Linked DNA regions of Nothobranchius furzeri. The protein of the gene in region 2 purifies or fractionates together with the protein of the main gene of each other region. This does not show direct contact. Links are inferred from orthologs where the notes say so. Each region holds a gene or a part of one and is shown on either strand. Other genes may lie near its edges.

What was found.
Region 1: the proteins of hspb1 (region 2) and transforming growth factor beta-1-induced transcript 1 protein purify together in Homo sapiens (affinity purification with western blotting; 3 studies listed by BioGRID). This does not show direct contact. The link is inferred for Nothobranchius furzeri from reciprocal best matches to the Homo sapiens genes HSPB1 and TGFB1I1.
Region 3: the proteins of hspb1 (region 2) and daxx purify together in Homo sapiens (affinity purification with western blotting; 3 studies listed by BioGRID and IntAct, with this or other methods). This does not show direct contact. The link is inferred for Nothobranchius furzeri from reciprocal best matches to the Homo sapiens genes HSPB1 and DAXX.

What each region holds. Positions count from the first base shown.
Region 1 is NC_091756.1:34,930,364-34,939,527, reverse strand, and holds the start of transforming growth factor beta-1-induced transcript 1 protein, read left to right. Parts: upstream 1-3,894; 5' UTR 3,895-4,026; coding exon 4,027-4,039; intron 4,040-8,005; coding exon 8,006-8,056; intron 8,057-8,258; coding exon 8,259-8,407; intron 8,408-9,041; coding exon 9,042-9,097; intron 9,098-9,164. UniProt on the Homo sapiens protein: Functions as a molecular adapter coordinating multiple protein-protein interactions at the focal adhesion complex and in the nucleus. Links various intracellular signaling modules to plasma membrane receptors and regulates the Wnt and TGFB signaling pathways.
Region 2 is NC_091750.1:66,228,957-66,237,449, forward strand, and holds hspb1 (heat shock protein beta-1), read left to right. Parts: upstream 1-4,059; 5' UTR 4,060-4,149; coding exon 4,150-4,531; intron 4,532-4,982; coding exon 4,983-5,046; intron 5,047-5,271; coding exon 5,272-5,422; 3' UTR 5,423-5,660; downstream 5,661-8,493. UniProt on the Homo sapiens protein: Small heat shock protein which functions as a molecular chaperone probably maintaining denatured proteins in a folding-competent state. Plays a role in stress resistance and actin organization.
Region 3 is NC_091759.1:22,798,659-22,806,055, forward strand, and holds daxx (death domain-associated protein 6), read left to right. Parts: upstream 1-236; 5' UTR 237-376; intron 377-2,306; 5' UTR 2,307-2,324; coding exon 2,325-2,549; intron 2,550-2,739; coding exon 2,740-3,162; intron 3,163-3,300; coding exon 3,301-3,432; intron 3,433-3,518; coding exon 3,519-3,635; intron 3,636-3,711; coding exon 3,712-3,943; intron 3,944-4,035; coding exon 4,036-4,205; intron 4,206-4,372; coding exon 4,373-4,505; intron 4,506-4,944; coding exon 4,945-5,461; intron 5,462-6,520; coding exon 6,521-6,638; intron 6,639-6,931; coding exon 6,932-6,991; 3' UTR 6,992-7,213; downstream 7,214-7,397. UniProt on the Homo sapiens protein: Transcription corepressor known to repress transcriptional potential of several sumoylated transcription factors. Down-regulates basal and activated transcription.

The DNA.
Region 1 (9,164 bases), on a different chromosome or scaffold from region 2:
TATGACTAAAATAGTAAGTAAAAAGGTTATCAGCTGTAGGTTTAGTGTGCTTATAGGAAACGTGAGAAAATATCACATTTCTCTTTATGGCCTATATTGTCATCAACGTAACATGATTTACAGAATACATGTGACCAACTAACGTTTCATGTTCTACCAGCGGATGTTTGGATCAGAATGTGAACCAATCAGATCGGGTGAGAGCCAGGCGTTTCCCGTCATCCCCTAGGTTTTGCAGCCGGTGGAGAGCAACTGCTGCGCCTTGCTCCAAAATCTGCGGCCGCCTTGATCTCACGAGGTTATCGTTGCCTACGTATGCATGACATCAGAGCAAGTCGACTTCAAGTCGGACACAAAGCTAACCGGCATGCATGGCGCGCCGATAACCGGTGATCGAATCTGCGCAGAACTGGCTTATCTCGAACACGGCCACTATCAGCAAGACACTCCCCGCTGTCTCCTCGCTGCTAATTTTTTTAACAGCCTTTCTGTGAGCGGGTGCAAGCCAAGATGAGACCATTAATGCAAATTCACAGTGTGACATCACAGTGTGAGGATTTTTCAGATCCAAGCATTTTGCAGAAGTTAACACAGGAGATAGCTGTGGAAGACTCAGTGACAGATTATAATGAGAAATGAGAGTTTTTCAGGCAACCACACCTTTAAATTGTAAATACGTTGGTGTCCTTGAGGCATATAAAGGAAGACAAATAGACATATGTCTTTTTTATCTAGAACACATTTAGCCTCTTGTCCAAAATGCTTGTCCAGTGCTGAAACAGGAGCTGAGGTATCAGCCTTTGAAGTTGAAATCAGAAATTAAATCCCACTGAGATACCGAGGTGAGACGAGTCTCTGGGCCTAACCTTTATTCCTGTTTGTGTTTTTAACACTGACAATTCAAACGTCGTGGTCACATGAGTGTCTAGGTGTGAGTTTCTGTGGAGGGGGAAGACGAATCAAGGCTGCTTTGTGAGAGATGAAATCCAACTTTGAACATTTGAGGTGGCTTTGTGGCTTCCTCCCTCTCTGGTCCTGATACTTCTAACCCATGTTTCAGCACTGAATCTTTTTGGATGAGAGACGAAACATCTTCGAGATCAGAGATGTCCAGTAGCCTTCTTTTAAAGCGTTCGTGATCATTTGTTTATTTCCAAGAGTCTCTTCTGCAAATGGTGGTTTTTTTATTCATAAGAAGTTTTCAGCTGTTTCTAAGTCAGCCTGAGTGATTCTGAATTATTCAGCAGATGAAAAGTGAAGCCATAAACTCCTGTTTACAGGTGCTGCCATGTCGTTTTAAGGATGAGGGAATGAAAGTTCTGCATAAACATAACAATGGTGTTTTATAAGCATCCAATAAATAATTACAGCTAAGGGGAAAACATACTATTTGAACACGAAGCAGCAAGATAGGAACCGCATTGAATATTCAGGAGTCAACATTAGAACGGTGGTTCCCAACCTTTTTTCATGAGGAACCCATTTCCTGTCCAAGACGAGCCAGGACCCCCAGCTCCTACCCACAGTTAAAAAGATTCATTACAAACTTTACACACACAGAGTTGTAGCTGTTATACAGATTTTTAAACACATTATTGGGGGTGTCATTGGATTTCATATATGTAATTTTTACAAATACAATCTAACCTAACAACCCCATGTGGGTCCCCATCAGGGGGTCACGGACCCCACGTTGAGAACTGATCTAGAAGAACCTAAAGGAAATGTATTTGTTGAGAGAATGACATCCCCATCTGTTTACAGACTTGAATCCTCGTCATGCCACTAGGGGGCGCTATACTTGTTAGAGCTACGTACAACTCACAGTACATGCTCCATTCAGATGTCTGATGCACCAGAATGAAGAGGAAATCGAATGTAAGTTACTTTATGATAGGATTTGTACAAATATCCATCTCTATGGTAACAGAGAAGGGTTGAGTTGGGTGGAAGGCAATATATTGTTGATATCTGAAGTAAGAGGTCAGGACAAGCTGGCTCTAGATTACAGAAACATAACAGCAGCAAATAACCATGTCCAACCATGTCTGCAGAACAATGTCTTTGGACCACAACAGGGACACACATTTTCTGCTAAAATTACTGAAACCATCTTGTGTGTGTGTGTGTGTGTGTGTGTGTGTGTGTATACATACATACATACATATATATATATATATTGCTCCTGAAAATAGAGTTTTAGGTATAATACTGCAGCTAAATAAATTACTCTTGCTTAACTGATACAGAGTATTTACTAAAGGTGTCCTAAACAAAACAGTATTGTGCTGTGTCTCGCCTTGCGCTATTCAGATTTGTAGCACACATTTAATTTACTGGTTGAGGTCATGAACGCACCATCTCAAGATCCAAACTTGCCTGAATTAGGGAATCTCTTGACATACAAACATCTATTTCTTTGCGCCAACAAACTCAAGTCCTAAATTGTGGATAACAGACCTCCTGTTGGTCAACTGCAGAGTTGGATACTGTAACCTTGGTCTTTTCCCCTGCATATTAAATCCAGTAATTAATTTGTACAGAGATGTGTTTGGAACAGGTAAAGCAACTTTGGCTAAATATTCATCTTAACCCGCCAACACGTGTCACTAAATTTAGGATTGGTATCAAATTCCATCGACTCATTTTTTTTTCAGCCCAAGGGCATTAAATCTGCATCACATAACTTTGAGAGTTATTTTGGTGTATTTCAGAGGTATTCAATTCTGGACCTGGAGGGCCAGTATCCAGCTTGTTTCAGTGGTTTCTCTGCTCCAGCACACTTCATTCGGTGGTCGAAACACCTGTGCAGCAGCTCATCAGGCTCTGCAGAAGCCTGCCAATCATCTGCTGATTTAAATCAGGTGTGTTGAAGCAGGGTTGAAATTAAAATGTGCCGGATTTGGAATACCCCTGTTTACTTCATATGCCTAGCCTCACAGCTCATTTAACGCTCCTGCAGTGTGTGTGTGTGTGAGACACCTGAGCCTAGTTTAAACCCCACAGCCTACCTGAGTATTGTTGCTGCCCATGTCCACCCCTTTGTGACCACATGGACCCATCTTCTGATGCTACTTTCAGCAGGACAATTCTCTGTGTCACAAACCTCAGATCATCTCTCCTGATTTCTACAGCGATGAGTTCCCTGAACTTCAAAGACCTCCACAGTCACCAGATCTCAGTCCAGTCCAGAATCTTTGGGATGTGGTGGATTCTCATATGGATGTGGCTGTGTGATGATGTCACGTCAGTCTGAACCACCAGAACCTCTGACTAATGTTGCCAACTCCTTGTTGGATCCATGAGTTAAAGAATTGAGATTTCTGGGGCAAAATAGGGTCCCAACCAGTACTAATGAAGAATGGTGAGTGTACACCGTCCTAAACACCCACCCTGTGGTACACACCTGGTCTCACCCATTAAATAATTCTCTAGTTTAGTAAAATCTATCAATATTTGATTTTTTTTATCTCAGCCCTCACTGTTTATATTGAGAATAATACTCAAACGTAACAGATTTAAAATAAAAGTTATCCTCTTGTTATCCAGAATGCAACGCATCATCACGTGATCCCAAGCCCTATGTCTCTTAAATCCGCCTCCCTCTGGACCGTCCCGTGAAGGACTCTAAATGTTTTAATACTTGCTCAACTCCACTAATCCATCATCGCTGCAGCAGCGGTCTCTCTGCTGAACTCACATCCTCCGAATCCTTAATTTTCTCTCCCAAATATGGAGCAGGAATGTCCACCGTGACGTCGTGCGTCAGGGGGGGATGCGGGGTTGTAACCACATAACTACGCCCTCTCCGGTCTGAAGTCCTGGTAGGCATTACACAGGAAGAGAGTTGGGAAAAAGAAACCTCCTCCTCCTCCTCCCCCTCGTCTTGGCGGATAACGGTGTCCAAGAAGTTATTGAGGAGCGACGCCGACGAAAGCCTGTCTGTCTGTCCGCCCGGACCCCAGCGCTCATTGATGCTTTCCTCTTCAGGTCCGAGAGAGGAAATCCGTCTGCTGTGATCCCATCATGGAGGATCTGGGTGAGTAAAACATCTGTTCTTCGCTCCATCTGCGGGACGACATGTCGGGATATCTGAAGGGATCAGTGGGAAGGGGCGGTGCGCCCCAACAGGAGGAAACGGGCTCTGTTGCTCCCGGTTGTTCCTCAGAGATCAGCACAAAGGAAAATCAGGAATAAAGAGTAGTTTCATTCAATAACAGGAGTTCACACAGCATGCAGATCCATCAGCCTGCTTGTTTGGGGTTTTATTGTTATTTGTGCAGAAATTGGACGCCCCCCCCCCCCCCACACACACACACACACACACACACACACACGCACACACATTTATTACTGTACATCTGACTGACCACCACTGAGTTTTATTCACGCACAGCCTGCAAATCCAACGCGTTGCAAATTAATTATCTTCATCAAAAACAATTCCTAGATACATACTGTTTATTGTCAGTATGGATTTTTCCTCTAATTAATACAGAAAAGGGAAAAAACGAGAAGCTGAATCTTTCTGTGTTACCGTGGCCGTGTTAGAAAGGCCCTGAAATAGCCCAAAGCAAACGCTGCTATTTGAGAAAAACCACAGAGTTCAAGGAAAATGGAAGACTTTTTACTCTGCTGCCCAGTCATTTTCTCTCTTTTCATATTTATAAAGTCCAGTTCAGAACAGAAAGGAATACAAGGACAAATGGCAAGATTTGGCCGACCACATCTGGGCACATCTGGATTGAATAGCAAGGAGTTTGGTGACTGGGTTGTATGGGGTCCAAGTTAAAAGTAAAAATCCTCTTAATTATGAATTATGTTAATAATTAATATTTCAGCCTGCAACATAAATTTAAAATGTTTATTTAGGAGTAAACGTTTAAAGCTGCAGGTTGAAATGAAAAAAGTTATAAAAGTAGTCGTTTTTAAGGATTAATAGGCCAGTATGTAAGTTCAGACGAAAATGTACCAAAATAAGAGCGGGTGAAAAGATGTCATGCTGTGATTAGACTGAATTCATAAACCCATGAATTATTTGTCAATGTTCCTGTATGAGTTTCCCATGGAAACTGAGAAATAGACCCACACAGTTTAACGATCTGTTTAACAGTTTAACCCTTTTAGAAGTAACACAAATCAGCGTATTATTGCCGCCACGGTGTGTCGTATGAATGCGCGGTGGCAGCATGGCGTTATGCCACCACGTTTGGTAGTAATATTACCAGAACGCAGGACTTGTGAATGCATATTACGCCTTAGAGGTGTCATGATCAGGTGGGGAGTTACTGCCGAGCTCTGGCCCTAAGTTTTGCTCTTGTAAACAGAATCAGCTGAGTTGATAAACTGGAGTGATGTGGAGCTCCAGGAGCTTCTCTCCGTTAAAGCTAGAGCTCAACTCACCAGAGACTGCACAGGGACTGTGGAGGACAGCCTTTCTTGGGAGTGGCTTGGTAAAAAAATGTAAGGATCATGGCTTCAGTCGCAATCAAAAGTAAGTTATGTCCAAGATAAACTGAAGTCCGTGGCAGCACAGAGACCGCCCCATACCCCCTTTATACCGCCATCACTTTATGTGTTGTAAAAAGGACACAATTGTGCCACATTACCACCACAGTCAGACCACTTATAAATGACGGAAGGCTCCTTGATGCCAGCATGGCGTTGCGGCTAATTGACGGCATTGTTTTCTAAAGGAGGCTAGGGTCGCCACACCTTGTTTTTGTTGTTGTTGTTGTTTGTTTTCAGGTTAACTTGTTTTGTTACTTGTCTGAATTTGCATGTTAGTTTATATAAAGGTGAAAACCCACAAATTAAAATGTAGTTTTCAAAATTTTTATTTAGATTCATACAATAACATTTGATTCTGAATTAAACGTAAAATATTTAGATTAAATTCTACTTATTCAGATCTTATTCTGACTATTCAGATTGAACTTTGAATTTGAAGATGCATTTTGAGAACTATTACTGTTCATTTTTTAACGTATTGCTTTTACAGTCAGTGCCCCATAGATTTGTGCTGTTGTTGAGCAGAAAGTTTGAAGCTTTTCAGTGAGCGAGGCCACTTGTTAGAGAGGCTCTTTTGGCCAAGACAAACAATTTAGCAGGCAGCTCTAAATATGGTCATGATTGCTATTAAGAGACGTTCAGCTCCTTATATGTGCAGTCCGTGTGTGTGTGTGTGTGTGTGTGTGTGTGTGTGTGTGTGTGTGTGTGTGTGTGTGTGTGTGTGTGTGTGTGTGTGTGTTTAAGACACGGAGACACAGCAGACAGGAGGGCATGCCGTTGTAGACTCTCAACACAGGGTCGTACCACAAGTGTGAATCATCAGGAGAAGAGATGACCGCAGAGCTCGTGGAAGACTGCTTGGATTCAGTTCCGTCTCTTGACATGAATTAGAAAACCATCTCCACAGGAGAGAAAGTGTGGTTGGTTAAAGTTACTTCATAACATCAGACCGAATCAGAGAAGCAGGGCTTTGAAAAAGAATCGGGAGTGCAGTTTTCAGGCCCAAGCTTGAGGAGAGAAACTGAAATGTAAATATCTGCTGTTCCGTCTCACAGCAAAGGATCGATGTGCGGTCATCAGATCAATTATTTCAAATGAGATGTTGTTCCTGCCGTTTTCAAGGTGTAAATTTGGTCTCTTCTTTGTTTTCATTTAAAATTAGACAGCTGTAGATGAAAAAAAACTCAGATGAAGTGATTGGTTTGGTGTTAAAACCAGATGTAGAAACGTAAAGCTCTGCAGTGTAGTCTCATTTATTTAACGTACAAGGGCGTGAAACACCTTATAAAAGTTGTTACAATCTTCAAAGGACTTTTCTTATTTCACCTTTACCTGACTACTATTGACAACTTCCTAACGATTGTTCTCCTGTGGTCTGTCAGACGGTTGTTTTATTTGGCTCGGCAGAAGTGCCGTAGAACAAATTCACGTATAAATGTTTTACTTCATCTGAAGAAAACAGAAAGGCACCAAATAAACGTGGACGCCTGCAGACTTTAGACAAGCTCGTCCCTTCTGCTGACGAAAGTCTTTTTACAAACGACATGCCTGGGATCCCTTTAAATGTAGGTCACATTGGAAAGAAAAATCTGTGGCTGCATAACTAATACATGTGATGGAGATGTAATCTAGACTTTTAAAGGTGCAGAAATAATAATTATTTAGTCTAATTCTGAACATTAATTTAAAATATCTTATCTGGCTTAGAATTTTTTTGGAACATCTGCTTAAAACGGACCTGTGGTATTACATTTTTGTTTTTAAAGTATTGTATAACAGTTTATGTAATCACACATTCATGTTGCTCATCATTAAAAAAACAGTTCACCTCTGGGTTTTCTTTGCATAAAATAATTATTTAATGTCTTTTAACGACCGTTTTGCTGGCTGAAGCTCAGCACTTTGACGAATCGTTTGATTTGCTGGAATCTTCTGTGCTCTCGTTGTTGTTGTCCTGCATGCAGCATGAACACTTTCCCACTTTTTTCAAAAACAATTCAGAAGATGCTGCTTGAGCATTTCCTGATCTATTATCCTTCAGTCAAAGAAGGAAAGTTTCTTTGATCCACAAACCACAATACCACCTCTACCGTGTGTCTGTGATAATGAGATAAGATCGTGTTCTTGATCCCAAAAAATAAAAGGCTTTTGGGTTCACCCACTCTGCTTTGTCTCTCGGCTGCATGTGGAGTCAGAGCTAATAGATGTCACCCAGCTGCAGAGACTAACACTTGAGTTCCTGGTCCTCTGAATGAGTGTGGGGGCGGCTGGTGGAGTGAGTTTGGATATCAGTTTCCAAACACTCTTCCTCCTCTGTTTCCTCCACGCTCTGCCATGTAGTGGATATAAAAGCAGAGATGAATGCATGTAGTTGGATTCCTGCCCGCTCTCCTTTCTGGCTGAATAATGTCTTGTTGTTTTTCATGTCATCTGCAGTGTCTGGGCTGACTTTCTGCAGCTGTATTTGTCACACAGGCTGTCTGTCTCTCCTCAGGTGTGCCTGAGCCACCTAACTACCCTCTCAGTCCTCGTATTGTTGTGTTTGGTACGTAACTGGATGCATGTTCCATCGTCCCTGCTTCTGATTCACTGGTTCCTGTGCTTCACCCAGACGTTTAGATGGTTTTTTGAATAAATGTCCTTGTTAGTGACTATAAATGTAGAAAATCAATATCTAATGGTTAGTTATCTTTAAATCCAATCACAAATCAAACTAAACTGCGGTTTAAACACTTTCCTTCTTTCAGATGCCCTTCTTGCTGATCTGGAGAACACCAGCTCTCCTCTACCACAGTGTCCTGTCTTGTTGACCTCTGACCCTCCACAAAATGCTGATGCCCCCTCCCAGGACCCGGCTCAGGCTCGACCACCACCTCCAGCCTATACACCACAGCAGGTAGATGCTCTGGGATGCATGAGCTGACTTAGGCCCTGTCCACACGTAGCCGGGGATCTGCCAAAACGTAGATATTTTTCTACGTTTTGGCCTGTCATCCACACGAAAACGGAGTTTTTTCACACGAAAACTGATCTTTTTTAAAACTCTGGCCAAAGTGAAGATCTGCGTTTTCTCCGTTTTGGGTGTCTGCGTGTGGACAGACAAAACCGGAGTTTTAAGGTCCGCAACGTCACTTTCCGTGACAAAAAAATGCTGACATCACGTGTGCGACCTGTGTTTACACTAGCCGACAGCATGGATGCCCTCAGAGCTGCGCTTGCTTTATCAATTGTCCAAGCGCTTTTTGCTTGTTTGTTTTTGCAAGCGGAATTACTGCTCCTTGTGGAAGACCACAGACGAAGGACGAGGTTAAGAACGGGGGAAGTACTGCCGCCTACAGGTCTAGCATGTTCTTAACAACGTATTTATCCGGGTACGTGTGGACAGAGTTTTTGTTTTAAACGAAGTGGTGTGGATGCAAGTTTTTGGAGGGGCGGATATTCGTTTAAAAAAAAACCCGGCTACGTGTGGACTAGGCCTTAGGTTTCTAAGTTTTATCAGTACTATACCATAATCTGTTTTTCTACCTCAGACTGTTTCTGCTGCTATGAAGTCCTCACAGAACTCCCATCCAGACAAACTATACAGGTAAAATATGTTGTTAAAGCCACAGTCTGTAATATTTTTACTTGTTTACCATTACATTCTGTGTATC
Region 2 (8,493 bases):
AGTTACTTTAAAAAATGTACGTAAATATACATAATAAATAAAACCCTAACATAGTTTCAATAAAGGAATTTCCACAGTTTTCTGATGTTTGCAAGGATATATTTTCATGATTCACAAAGTTTTAGTGAGCATTTTTGTCAGAAGATTTAAACGACTAATCACATAAACAGAGCTAAACACTTTTCATAAAAGTCTCGTTATTTGTGAAATAGAAACTTTTAACTCCCACTTTCCTCCCTCCCTAACATGGCCGATCTGTTGCCAGATCACTGCTGCAAACCACGACACAATGGATTTAAATCAGTTTGTTTACTGGATTTAATAGTTTCTGTCTTCTTGGTCTGATAAACATTTCTTTGTGATCTTCAGGAGCGAGACTGAGGAATGGATCGGATGTTGCGTCTTGATTGGTTAGGTCTGAAACAGCAACAGTGATTTGGAAGAAATGTTGATCTATAAAAGACAAAAGTGTTATTATTGTTATTAGTTTAATCGTGTATGCATTAGTGAATCATCTACTGCCTCAGCTGCCCGGGGTAAAAATGAGCTTCTCTCAAAAAAAAAAAAAAAAAAAACACTCAGAGGGCCACAAATGGCCCCCAAGCCTCACTACGGACGCAGGCATGGACCTCTTGAACGATTACTAAACGGAAACAGGAACCAAGTTCCATTAAACAGGATCAGGACCAGATTAGCAGACTGAGATGTTATTGATTAGTTGAAAACAAATTAATTCAATCATCCTCTGAACCAGTGAGAGCTTCAACACCATCAGACTTATCAGGGGAGGAGTCACACCCCCATGAGTTTTTGTTTTTTTACTGGGCCAGCCAGGTTCAGACCAGTTTAAACCAGTCTGAGGAAGAGGAGGGTGAGACAATAGTGTCCCTTTATCCACCGGAGTTTCAGTGGGGGAGTTCAGGATCTCTCAGCCTTAAACCCAACAAATTTACTGCCTTTGATCATGAAAATATATCAGATTACACTTTAGATTACAGCTGGGATTAGATTTTATTAGACTCTAGACTGGACTTTGCTGAACATTTTTGTTCAGATTTTAAAAGTTTGGTTTATCACTAATTAAATCAGGTGACAACAGAGACCAGATCTGAACAACAGTGTATTTTGGTGTTAATGAAGTCAGATCTCGCAAGTTTACGTCGACCTCCATGAATAATGAATAAGATAACGAATCTCCTGCTGACCACTCAGAAAAGTTTCTGGTCTTCCAGCAGGTAAACAAAACCAGTCAAAGCAGGTTTGCGCATCATCAAAAGGTCATAATTTAATAGCAGTATTCTGGGTTATTTTGCCCACCATGAGCTAAGTATTTAATTTAGAGATAAATATTTATTTTACAGGCTAAATATTTAGGTCAGACCTAAAAATTTTGCTTGTAAACTAGATATTTACTTAACTAACTAAATATTTAATTTGAAAAATATTTAAATGTTAAACTTCAAAAATATATATTTAGATTCCAGCTACTTTTATTTGCTAAATCAATATTTAAATTTAGTCAAAAATAAATATTTAGCTGGGACCTAAAAATTTTTTGGAAAAAAAAAATCATTTGGAGCTAAATATTTAATTTGTAAACTTAATATGTAGCTCCAAATCAAATATTTGGTTAGTAAATAAGATATTTAGCTGAGAACTTTAGCATTTATAAATGTATGAATAACATGGTGAAAATGTGACTTTTGTAAATGAACTCCCGTTTTTTTGATGGGCTAAATAATCCAAAATATTGCTGTTAAGTTTATAAACTGTTTGACTTTACAAATGGCACCCCACATAATCACACCCTAAAAAACAAGAATGCAGAGAACAACCTCCAATCTGCATTCTTGTTTTTTAGGGACTCCTCTACAACTGATCTGATTTTTTTTGTCTGTTAGAAAACTATCATAAACGACTACAGGGATTTTAATGAAACCTACAGAATTCACGTTCGTATGATTAACCAGACTAAATATGGCCGCCACAGCCAGTACACAACAAAATGACTCAAACGCAGTCAAATCTGCTGCATGGATCTCCATCTGGCGCCACAGAACTAAAGGGTGAACAGATCAGACAAGAGCTTTGTGAAATAGAAACTGGACAAATTTTAAATAAGAGTCTTAAACAATTTCCTATACTTCTATATTGAACTGGGGAAACTCAACAGTAGCAAAAACGTTTAAAAACCAGTGAATTTTACAGATAAGGAGCTGAAACTTTGCATCATGGTCTAATTCTACTACCATGTGGATAAAAGCACATTTACTTCCTCTCAGGCTGATTTGGGATGTATTTAATCAAAGTAGATAAACATCTTTGCATTTTCCTCAAACCGTTGAAAAGCAAGTTTTTCAAATATCTCTTTTCTGAACAGGAAGTGACAAAACTGTTCAAAAATGAACCACGTGGAAAACACTGCACTGTGCTTAAGAATCTTCTAGAAAAAGGTTCTTTGCAGCAACCCCTCCCCCCTTCCTTCCTTCCTGCAGACCCTTTATCCTCAAATGACCTTTCACCCTAATCCATGCATGGAAGTTTCCCTGCTGCCTGCTGTTTGGCGTCTCTCAGATGCAGAGTGGATCATCCACCTGAAAGCTCCGGTTGTTTGCATTTGAAAATGAATTCCTGCATTGCCCGTTTGACCACCTGGAGGTCGTTCCCAGAAAGGGCCTTTAATGCAAAACAGAAAAACTGGCTCCAATTTAAATTGTTACTGTCTTTCCTGCAAAAACAACCTTGTTTACTGATTTAAAAAAAACTTCATTTTCACCATTTAAAAGCTGTTTTTTGCTTATATGAATGTTGATGGTAAACTTTTATTTATACAACCACATTAGACTCTAGTGTTTTCATTAATAACATACTATAATAATAATGTAAGAAAATGTGTGGCTCTTTAAAAAATGTAAATTTTGAACGTTAACATTTGTTTTTCTTTAAAAATCTTTTCAGAAGTTTTTGAACTTTATGCATGAAAGGGTTTATATTAGTTAGATCATTTTCATTCTAGATGTTCAAACAAAATCATCTCATGTTGAAAAATGGTGGAATTGTTGGTTTTTCTTTCTTTTTTTTCCAGCTAAATATCTGAATACTTCTGAGTTAAAAATGCTTATGAAACGTGTATGTGGAGTAACCAGGTAGGTAGGTTTTAGTAGTGTTGCAAATCTGCAACGCCTGCCTCCAGAGGGTTGCTCAAAGACAACACCCAGCAGCATTTTGTTTAAAACTGAGATGCATTTGGTCTAAAATGAACGTCTTCTATGTTTTTAATCCAGTTTGATATCAAAATACAGTTAGTATTTTGGCGTAGATAGCCCGAAAAGAAGGGGTTGAATTGATTCACAGTTGAAAGTGTCTCCCAGGCAGGATCTAACACGTACGTGTAAATGCTCCCTTTGCTTACCCTAAACCCATCTTCCAGGTGTTTCTACAACACTCTGCTAAATGTTTTCTATTGGACGCATCTTTCTAGACCGTTGTGTGTGTAAATGTGCATCTGTATTAAAACTAGAGCAAAACCACGACCCTGAGAAACGAATGCAACCAAAATGATGTTTTCATGTCTGGTTTTTAGCTCACTTTTTCCTACTTTGATGAAACTAAACAGTTTCCTGTCATCCACTAAGAAACTTGGGAGTTTTTAACCCAGTTTGGGTCAAAATGAGTTTTGATAGAAGGACGACCTCTGAGTTAAACAATGCTCATGAAACACATATGTGGAGTAACCAGGTAGGTAACTGTTGCAAACCTGCAATGCCTGCCTCCAGAGGGTTAACCCAGGTGAGTATTATGTGTTACTTTTTGCATCGTATCCCAGCATGTTGTGATCACATCGGCTCTTCAGGTTTCCTCCAGTTGCTTCTAGTCAGATCTGATCAGAATGGGAGGGGTGGGGGTGGGAGCTCTTACGTTTGCACTGGGCAGCTGTTACCAAGACCCGCCCTCCACGTGCTGCAACAGACACAAATAGATTCTAGATCTTTCCGTAGGCATGTTGGGGGCTTGTGGGTCTGGGGGCAGGGCGTTAGGGGGGTGGGACCAGCGTGTATAAAAGCTCTGCAGCATGTGAGTCAGGCATCAACTTGGAAGAACATTTTCTGAAAGACTTGAGAAGACTTCTTCTGCCCGACCACAGCAAGCATGGCTGAGAGAAATATTCCCTTCACCCTGGCCCGCACTCCCAGCTGGGATCCGCTCCGGGACTGGCACCACAGCAGCCGGATCTTTGACCAGATCTTCGGCATGCCGGCCCTGCTGGAGGACTTTCCCACGTTCCCCAGCTCCCGCTGGCCCGGCTACCTGAGGCCCTCCATCCTGGGCACTGACATCATGATGCCCCACAGCCACATGTACCCGGGACAGATGTTGGCCCAGCAGGCTCGTGCCCTGTCCAGGCAGATGGGCAGTGGCGTGTCAGAGATCAAGCAGACGCAGGACAGCTGGAAGGTGTCCCTTGACGTCAACCACTTCTCACCTGAGGAGCTGGTGGTGAAGATGAAGGATGGTGTTGTGGAGATCTCTGGTGAGTTTTCTCTCTTCTCTAGGTGTTTAAGTAACCTGCAAACATTCAGGATCTTTTATTCAGGATCCAGGTTAACTGAGGTCATTGTCTCCAGATGAAAAGGACCCCTCCCCCTCTTCCTCACATGGGTGGGAGTGGGATTCTGGCTAGAAGCCAACAGATACCTGTGAAGCAGCTTAGTTTTACTTTTTGTTTACATTTTTACTGGTGGCATGTGAGGCCTCCTCCCTCTCGGACTCGCCCTCGTGATCCCAGTTCTTCCAGTTTGCTGTGACTCCCCAGTGTCTGCAGCTTTAAAAGGACTGCTGGATCCGGTCCAGTTGACTGGACCTGGTCTGAGCACAGAGATAAACAAAGCGTGTGATTCAGTCTCACGGAATGGCACAAGAGATGAATGACATCACTAGCTGTTTATTAATTATTTTTTTAATAATTTCTGTTGTTTCCACAGGAAAGCACGAGGAGAGGAAGGATGAACACGGCTTCATTTCTAGGAGCTTCACCAGGAAATACACGTAAGCTTTTATTTTATTTTTTCAAAATCTGCAGGTTTGTGCAAAATGCATGCAGTCAAATGTATTCTGTATATCTGAAGCTGAAGTTTGGAGTTCTGAAATGCCTTATCAGCCACCTAGTCAGTCATATCTGGTTTATTCAACTCCACAAGTCTGCTGCCACCTAGTGGCCACACCTCTGCTACTACAACAATGTGTAACACTGTCTCCTCCCCCCTCCTCCAGCCTCCCTCCTACCGCTACTTTCGAGAAGGTGACCTCCTCTCTCTCCCCTGAGGGGATTCTGACCGTGGAGGCTCCTCTGATGGCCATCGAGTCGACCGAAACCACGATCCCCGTCACCGTGGAGAAGAAACCCGCCGTGACCCAGAAGTAGATAGCAGCGCTATACACCCTGATGCCATCAACGCACACGCATGCATGCTTTTTGTTTTAATCCACAAACGTCTTCGAGGAGATGAATCTTGTTGTGGTTTTTTTTATTACTTTTTAATTAGCTTTTTCATTTGAAGTAAATGTTGATGTTGCTTCTCAGTGGTCATTATTAAAATCGTGTGTCCTCAGGTACCTGTTTGTCACTGAGCTGCTTTTGGAAATAAAATTAACAAAAAATATTCTTTTGTCTTTTTTTTCATGATGTGACACCAACATGGGTCTGTGTAGTTGAGCTACGTCTGAGAATGAATTTATGTGGCTAAATTATATCTTTTGGTCATCCATGCAAAAAGCGCATCACGAAAGTCCTGTTTACTTACCTGCACATAATTGTTGTTTGCTTTTTAAGCAAAATCTAATAAAATAACATGCAGCCAGCTAACAACTAAATAAATGAACTCAGTCAAATGATCAATTGGATTTTACTAAACGTCCCATTAGTGCATGTAAAGTGGGCGTGGCTTAAACTGAACTGACAACAGTCAATGATGCTCAGCTGCCGGAAAGAAGCCAGCCATGCTGGTTATTTTCATGTTGTTCTGCACCAGCTGATCATCTGTAGGATGGAACCTGTTTCCATCACTTCTTTCTCTCCTTCCATAGCATCATCCTTCAGGCTTTCGTGTTGCACGTCTGTCCGGAAATACACAGACCAACTCTGCTCCTGACCCCAAAGCTGCAGGGGGAAATCTATATATATAGACACCATGTCCTGAGCTTCCAGCGTGCTGTGTGGTCACAGGGAGCCGGCAGACAAACCGGCGGAATGTTCTTCCACGGCTTTTGGCCTGTAGTGACTAATAGGTCAGCTATAGTTGGATTGATTTCAGATTTAACTCTGGCAGCCAAAGCAGATGTCTATTAGCTGACCATTACGTTATAAGCACACAGTTCCTGAATGCTACTGACTCTGGACAAGGACACTCAGCGTTTCCTCCTCCATGAGTCACAGTTTCCCTCCACTTTAATGCAGGCCTGAATTATTCATGCCAACCCCATCAATCCAGGAACCAAAGCTAGAAAAGTGCTTCATGTGAAGAGCAGCTGGGTCCTGGTCTGCTGATCTCATGAGCGGGGAGGCGTTCACTAGCAAAAAACGTTAAAGTCACTCAAACTGAGAAAACACTGATTACGTGTCACCATGGTGATTCATTTTCTATTCAAGGACATAAATATTCATGTGCATAAAGGCAACAGAAGTCTGAAAGTGGTTTATTGATGTATCACACCAGACCCGCCCCAGTGCATGCTGGTCTGTTACCTGCTCACATATCTGGCTCTTATGGTCTCTAGCCGGCTCACGTCAGGCAAATTTAACAAACAGAATAGTTTTACAAAACTGGGTTCTGGTCATCCGTTTAAAAAAAAAACAAAAAACAAAGGAAAACACAAACTATGATTATTTCAAAAGGTTGAGAAGGTAGTAATAGCACCTGTTGGAGTTTTGTGGATGAATCTGGGAATCTAAAAAGCAGCAGAAGATCCATTTCCCACCAGTGTCACGCACAAAAATTGTGGATTAGGAAATGTTTAAAACACACCTTTGTGCATGTTTTACAGACCTACTGGTAACTAAACTGGTTTCAGTCCTTCCTGGAGACCTCACATGCAGCAGCTGAGGGCCCCAGTGCATTCTGGGACATGTGGTTTCAGTGTCACTGCTAAATGAGTTCTCAACTATTATGTATTTATCCAGATCAGGGCTATCCAATTTGGGGCTTGAGGGCCGGTTTCCAGCACGTTTTGGTTTTAATTCTGCTTTAACACACCTGATTTTAATAAGTGATTAACAGGCTTCTGCAGAGCCTGATGAGCGGCTGCACAGGTGATTCAACCACTGAATCAAGTCTGTTGGACCAGAGAAACCACTCAAACATGCTGGATACCAGCCCTCGAAGCTCGGAATTGAATAGGCCTTGTCTAGATTGATCAGATGTAAAGGCACACTTGTCAGTTTTGGCTTGCCTTTAGCACCCCCTAGTGTCCATTATTCATTATCTGTGGTCAAATCGAAAGCAAAACCTCTCCTCGTTGTAGTTGTCTTTTTAACACCTTTATTTAACAGCTGAAACGTCTCACCTGCCTTTATTAGTGTCTACAGGAGCGGTTCATCACTAAATTAAACAAATCAGCTGTGCTCATGATCTAAAACATGCTGTTAGCAGACCGCAGCACCAGGCGTGTCAGCTAAATTTTTCTGCCAGTCTGAAGTTGCAAGTGCGATATTCTTGGGGGTCTGAGTGACATTTCATTAACTCTGTGAAGGGTCATTTTAGCAGTTGTCATTTACAAATATGAAAATGTATCCCTTTAATGTTTAATAATCTGCTTAGAAAAAAAAGTAGACCAAAGGGTCTCTGATTGTTTCAAGATGTCAGAAATCCTTTACAAATGAGCTGAAATCAGTTTTTATCCAAAAGGACCCACATGTCAGATTTTACCCTTGGATGCACTACAAGTGCAACCTTTTTACATCTAGGTCCTCAGAGATGTAGAAAGCGTTCGTCTCCTCCGCTGCAGCTCATTGCAAATTGCCCTTTCCCTGATTAGTGCTCACTTGCTGCTCCCAATTAGTGCCTCCCTTCTCTGGGGGCGGGGTTATTTACTGATATGTCTGATGTCCCCAGCAGCATTATTAGATTAATGTGGTAGGGTTCAGAGGGATAAACTGTTCCACATAAACCTTGATTAAACAGATATATTAAAGACTCAAAAGTCTTTTTTAATGTGATTTTTTGTTTAACTGAAGAAAAAGCTGCACACTGTTAATGTTTCACACACTGTCGGCCTTCGTTTTCAGCCTGTTTGCCACAAACCTTCGCTGAATTCCTCAGAGGGTTTTCCTCCACAGGCTCCATGATCTTCCAGCCTGCTGCTGTGTTCTCCGTCTCCATGGCAACAGCAGTTCCCTCCTCTTCACCAAGTCCTTCCATTAAGATGCAGTAAAACCACATCTCTACCAGTGTGCTAACGCTGGAATGAAACGCTACAATTTGCTTACCAGGTTGATCA
Region 3 (7,397 bases), on a different chromosome or scaffold from region 2:
AAAGTTAACCAGAAAATAAACCAGAGAAAAAGACACATTCCTTTTGTCCAATGACAGAAGGCTTTACTCATCCCAACGTGTCTTTTGACCAACCAGAGTCAACTACGTGCGTCGGAGTTTAGCGGGTCGCGAGTTAACAATTTAGCTAAGTCTAGAAGCTTTTTGTGAGTAAACAGGAAGCCTCATTGGGTTAAAACTAGAATTAAACAATAGTTTATTTTGTTTATTATCCAAAACAAACAGACTAAGACCAATTTTCGTGTTAACCATAAAAATAAACATGATTACTTGTTGCTAATGCTAACATCAGCTAACCAGCTGCGTTGTAACCCGCAAATGTTCTTTATTTTCTCATCGAACTGCTCTTAAACAAGAGGTAAGTGTTTTTGGTATTTGTGGTCAACTGTCTGTAGCTCTTATCTATTTTAACACAAGATCAGAATTATCTCAGGTTTACTGGCGTTTCAGTTTCGTTTCTGTCCTTTAAAGCTAATAATTTCGCGGGAATGTAAGTTAACGTGTTTAACAACATGTGCTTTGATGTTTTAGTTAACAGCGACAGTGTTTTACTATTAAAGCAAAGCACAGAAAAATGTTGTTATTAAAAGCTAATTCTCGTTTCCTAAGAGGTCCTTAATTAGAAATGTTTGTTTCTACTAAAATAATCCCAAATAATCCAATACTTTATAATAAATTATTCTTTAAAGCATTTATGTATTATGATTGGGTTAGGGTGATTATGTTTTAACATCTACATTTAGGCTAAATATGACATCAACATTATTTCTACACACAAACGTTTGAAATCTTTGGAATGTCTAATTTTATTTTAATGTTTTCAAAATGCCTGAGAGTGAAACTGAAATGGACATAATCTACTTTTATGAGACATACAAGTATTTTGTTTTGATGTAATGTTTATGAATATTTAAATCACTACTGTAAGATGCTGGGAAGTTAGAGATACATTAATTGAATTATGACTAAATATAAATATTATTATTAATAATCATAGGGAAAGGGTGGCTTGCCAACTCCGGGTCGGGGGAGAGGTCCTACCTCAAGTGGAGGAGTTTAAGTATCTCGGGGTCTTGTTCACGAGTGAGGGTAGGAGGGATCGGGAGATCGACAGGCGGATTGGTTCGGCATCTGCAGTGATGCGGACGCTGAGCCGATCTGTCGTGGTGAAGAGGGAGCTGAGCCAGAAAGCCAGGCTCTCGATTTACCGGTCGATCTACGTCCCAATCCTCACCTATGGTCATGAGCTTTGGGTAATGACCGAAAGAACGAGATCACGGATACAAGCGGCCGAAATGAGTTTCCTCCGTAGGGTGGCCGGGCTCAGCCTTAGAGATAGGGTGAGGAGCTCGGACATTCGGGAGGGACTCGGAGTAGAACCGCTGCTCCTCCGGATCGAAAGGAGCCAGCTGAGGTGGCTTGGGCATCTGGTCAGGATGTCTCCTGGACGCCTCCCTGGGGAGGTGTTTCAGGCACGTCCTGCTGGCAGGAGACCCCCGGGTCGACCCAGGACACGTTGGAGAGTTTACATCTCTAATCTGGTCCGGGAACGCCTTGGGGTCCTGCCAGAGGAGCTGGTGGAGGCGGCTGGAGAGAGGACGGTCTGGAGCTCCCTAGTTGGGATGCTGCCCTCGCGACCCGGATAAGCGGAGGAAGACGACAACAAATAATCGTTATTTTACTGAATTAAAAACCTTGTAAAAGTTCTGAGATGTTTTATCTGCTCTTTAGTCTGAAGTCTGTTTATAAACCAAAAAACCTTCAGCAAACCTTATTTACACAATTACATAAATATATTTTATTTATCTGTTTATAAATAATTTGAACATTTTCTGAGTCAGAGCTGACAAATCCAGTCTTCTGATCAACACGAGTGAAGTAGATCCTCTATATGTGGCTTGTTGTGAGATGCTGCAGCTGTTGTTGTTGTTTACGTTTTCACTCACATCCCAGAATGCAATGCAAGTCTGATAACAGGAGGGTGTGGGCCTCAAAGCTGCAACCTTTTGAGGCCACCTCCTTCATCGGGTCTCAGAACTACACTTTTGTTTTGCACCCTAAAGAGAGCTGCACCAAGCAAGGAAGCGGACCAGCGTTGAATATAAACAGCCGAAACGTCACACGTTCTCTTAAATATGCTAAAAGGGTTTAAATCACCAGAGATATTAACAAACGACCTCCATACAACTCTAGAGGTTTACAGAGAACTCTGTCACTTCCTAACCGTTATCGATGATAAACTCGCCGCTCTGCTGATCTCCTTCATCTCGTTTGGGTTTTATAAACAGAAACAAGCTGAACTTGGGATGGCGGTGGCTCCTGCCTCATTGGCAGATCAGATCATTGTGCTTGAAGATGATGAACCTGCGTGTTCCTCTGCCACCTCCTCCTCCTCCAAGCGACAAACCAGTAACGTCTCTCCAGCCCGCCGTCAGCAGCAGGCTCCCACACACATCGTCCACTCTCCTTTTGCTTCCAACAGGAAGAGCGTAAACGCTCTGCAGGCAGAGAACCAGAAGCTGTTCAGTGTGGTGAGTTTATATATATATATATATATATATATATATATATATATATATATATGTATATATATATATATATATATATATATATATATATATATATATGTATATATATATATATATATGTATATAGTTTTATTCTCTAACAAAACCAGATTCACCAAACGCTTCATCAGGTTCCTTTCTGCCTTTTCTCCAGTTTTTGGAGCACTGCACGTCTCTCACTAAGGACTGCCCAGAGGTCTTAACCTTCCTCCAGACCAAGCACGCCAAGGCCAGCGCTGAGTTCCTGTCCTCCGTGGAGTTCAGGAACACGCTGGGACGATGTCTGACCCGCGCTCAGGCCAACAGCTCCAAAACATTCGTCTACATTAATGAACTGTGCACCGTGCTCAAGCAGCACAGCGTCAAGAAGAGGCCGGCCCTCAGCCAGGCGGAGCCTTCTGCATCGACGTCGGGTGCCACCCGGTCTGCTCCCGATTCACTCCAGAGTAAAACTAAAGTGGAGGAGGAGGAGGAGGGGAAACCAGCCGCAGAACGAGCCTCGACGTCAGGAGGTCAGGAGGTCAAGGAGGAGAGTGAAGAAGCGCAGCGGAAGGCTAAGAGAGCGTTAAGGAAACAGGTGAGTGTTTATCTCTGAAGGCTTTAATCCTGCTTGTTTGAACTTTTTCTCACTTATTTGCAGTAAAATGAGCCGAAAAGCTGATTTCCTTTCAGCAGAACCCCCCCCCCTTATGGTTTTACTCGCTCTGATTTCCAGATCGCACACCTGGAGAACCTGCTGAAGTCGTACAACGATGAGATCAGCCGGCTGCAGCAGGCCGAGCTGACTTTAGACGACATGGAGACGGAAGACTCCACGTACATCCAGGAGCACAAACTCAAGCGGAAGGTCGGCTGAGCGGCAGATTAAACCCGGAACGTTGCATCTCCGGTGGGACGACGGGTGACTTTTTTTTTTTTAACGTCTGTTTCCAGATGATGAAGATTTACGAGAAGCTGTGTGAGCTGAAGGGCTGCAACACGCTGACGGGGCGAGTGATCGAGCAGAAGATCAAGTTCAACACGACTCGCTTCCCTGAGATCAACCGGAAGGTGAGTTCTTCTCTTTCGGTGTCATTCCAGCGGGTGGATTAGCGTTTACGTAGGATGTGTTCCTGCTTCCTGTCAGATCGAGCGCTTCATCAACAGTCCCGAGGCTCGTAGCAACCCTCCGGATTATCACGACATCCGGCAGCTGGTGGTGCGCGTCAACGAGCGCCACAACCTGTGTTTGAACCGGAAACAGGTGAGTCAGATCGCCCAGGAGGCCTTCAGGGACACGGGCAGCCTCCTGCAGGAGCGGAGACACCTCGACCTCGTCTACAACTTCGGCTCGCGTCTCACCGACGCCTACAAGCCCGGTGAGGCTCCAGCTCCGCGTTCACGCTGAATACTTTCATTCATTCATCCATGTTTGTGCCTAATCCTCTCATCTCTCCTCCTCCGGTGGAAGCTGACGACCCGGCTCTGTCCGACCTGTCTCTGCTGAAGAAGCTACGGTCCAACAGGGAAGTGGCTTTGTCTCGTCTGGATGATGTCATCAAAAAGTACGCCGTGAAACAGGACGACACAGAGGAGCAGGAGAGAATCCGGAGACTGGAGAAAAACGGGAAAGAGAAAGAGGTGAAGGAAAAATCCCGGCGCATCAGCGAGGCGGAATGTTCCCTTCCTGCTGGTCCGGAATGCTGTTTTATATACCTTTTTATCCGAGGATAAAACAGGAAGCATCAAAACAGTTCCAGGAGTTAACATCTGCGCTCCGACTCTACTTCTTTTACTTCCATGATCAGAAACCAGAAGAAGGAAAACAGACGAGTCAGGCGAACGGCGTGGAGGAGGAGGAGGAGGACGAGGAGGAGGATGAATCATCAGACCCTGACATAGAGGAGGAGATCCAGGCCAGCACTCAGCAGGCTGCCGCAGGTCAGATTAAATCTGGGATTAAAACTGTTTGTGAGATTTCTCAGATTTGATGTAAACTCGACTCGGTTCCTGTCATGGATTTATCAATGTGTGTGTGTGTGTGTGTGTGTGTGTGTGTGTGTGTGTGTGTGTGTGTGTGTGTGAGTTCTGGACGAGTGGGCATGCAGAGAGGCACAGAGCGATACATTTACATTCAGTTGGTTGAGTCCATGATCAAGAATTAATAGACATGAATTTTTCCATAACAGTTCCAAACGGGAGATTATAATCTGCTGACCCGTGGAGAGGTCACGACCCGGTGTCGTTAATCCAGATTAGCTCGGTTTAAAGATTAAATCATCAAAATTAGAAGTTCTGACACCAGTAAGAAGCTCCAGTCCAACCAGCACAAACTGGTTTGTTTTTATTTTAATCTTAACTTTACTGATGTTTCCTTTAGATGACGATGAGGAGGAGGAAGAGGAGGAGAATGCTAACGAGGCAGGTCAGTCATGCGAGGACGACAAGGAGGATCAGACGTACGAGCAGACAGGAAGTGCTCCAGCAGGCGGCGATGGAAGCCCGAGGGCTGAGATGGAGCCGCTCACCAGCGAAAGTCCCGTCTCTGAGGAAACACAGATGTCCAGCGTCCCGTCTCCCAGAGACAGCCCCGGCCAATCAGAGCTCGTTCAGTCGGACACTCGGCAGACGTTGTCCAACGGGACAACAGCAAACTTAAAGAAGCTCGCCGCGTCGAATCAGCTGTCGGTGGTGATCATAAAAGAAAACCAGGTGAATAATAAGAAGTTGGCCGTCCCAGCAGCCGTTAACGGGGATCCTTCACCTGAGCGAGGAACACCGAAGACCAGCGAGTCTCCGCCCCCCAGCCCCAGAACCACGAGGAGCCAGAAGAGGAAACGAGAGGAAAACATGGCCGAGACTCCCAGAAACCTGAGACTAAAAATCAGTTACGACAGGTGAGTGGAGCGCTCACACACACACACACACACACACACACACACACACACAAACTCACACACATACACACACACACACATGCACGTGCATGCACCCTCACATGCACACACACGCACTCACACACACACACACACATGCACGTGCATGCACCCACACACACACACACATGCACGTGCATGCACCCACACACACACATGCACGTGCATGCACCCACACACACACACATGCACACACACATACACACACGCACACAAACTCACAAACATACACACACACACACACACACACATGCACCCTCACACGCACACACACGCACTCACACACATACACACACACATACATGCACATGCATGCACCCACACACATACACACACACACATGCACACGCATGCACACACACACACACACACACAAACATATACACACATACACACACATGCACCCTCACACGCATATACACATCCATACACATGCGCATGCACACACACACACATGCACCCTCACACGCACACACACCTACTCACACACATACACACACATACATGCACATGCAAGCACCCACACACATACACACACACACATGCACATGTGTGTGTGTGGTAGTACATACGTAGCAGGATGTTGGGCAGCTACAGTAATCAGATTACACGTTTGTTTAAACCTGAAGATTTTAAACATCTTTTTTCCTTAAATTCTCCTGAAATCAACATTGAAAGTTTTTGTGAATTCGATCGAATCTTTAATCACTGAGGAATGTTGCGTTGAGTAAAACCAAATCGGTGCGTTGGAACGGCGCCAGCGGGAGGTGTTCAGTCCCAGAGGATCGTAGGTTTGACCCTCGTTTCTGGTCACTAACTCCCGTAGCCTCCGCCGCTCCGACTCCTGCTCAGAGGAGAGGCTTCCGCTGGAGGAACACGTTTGTTTTATTCGATGTCAGCATGAGAGCGAGGCTGCGTGACTCGGGAGAGACAGCTGAGAGCCCACGCTATCCCCAGCACACACACACACACACACACACCTTTACTCTCTTTATTAACGTGCTTCCTCCTCTTCCTCAGCGACGCCGACATCCCTCTGGACATGGGCGTCATTAGCTGCAGCTCTCCTCAGGACGCCTCCACACCCTCTCAGCTGATCTGCAGCCCCCAGCTGACCCCGCCCCCAAAGAAAAACAAGGTGCAGAAACCGTTAAATTAGATAATTAATGATTGTTATTTCATAATAATCCTAATTTATTTACGGATTTAACCCTCCCACTGTCCTAATGGATGTGACCCCGCCAGGAAAGTTGACCTTGGAGCACGGTTGATGGTTTATCCCTTGGGTCCACGTGGCAGGGGTGAGGAGAGAGCACCACCTCATCCCTGCCACGTGGACCTCCCCTTAGGACAGTGGGAGGGTTAAACAGCAGCGATGAAACGGTGACATCACAGGTCATTCTAAAGGTTGTGCTGACTCTGCGTCTCCAGGTCAACGTGGCGACTCAGTGCGACCCGGATGAGATCATTGTTCTGTCCGACTCGGAGTGAAACTGGACTTTACCAAGGACACGTTTCCTGGTGGACCCTGAGGGACTCGTAGAGCAGCGATTCAGCGGCGGCTGAAACAGACGTCTGTACCTCGGCTCCGGAGTATTCCTGATGATCCGGGACCCGTCGGGTCGGTTCCTCTCAGCGGGGACGAGTTGGGCCTCTCCACTTTCCTGACACGAGCAGCTCTGCTGGTGTTTCTGTAAATAAGAACCGGTGCCTGACGAGAGCCGTCGATCGTCTCGCTCTGCTGAACGTCTGTTTCCGCCGACGCTCGACGACTCGTCACATTTTAACACGATCTGGGATTTTCTTCCACGGAGCAGCAGCAGCTTTAGATCCGAATCAGCGAATGTTCTGGTTCATTTCCTCCTCGTTTGTTTTTATTTATGCTGTTCTTCTGTTA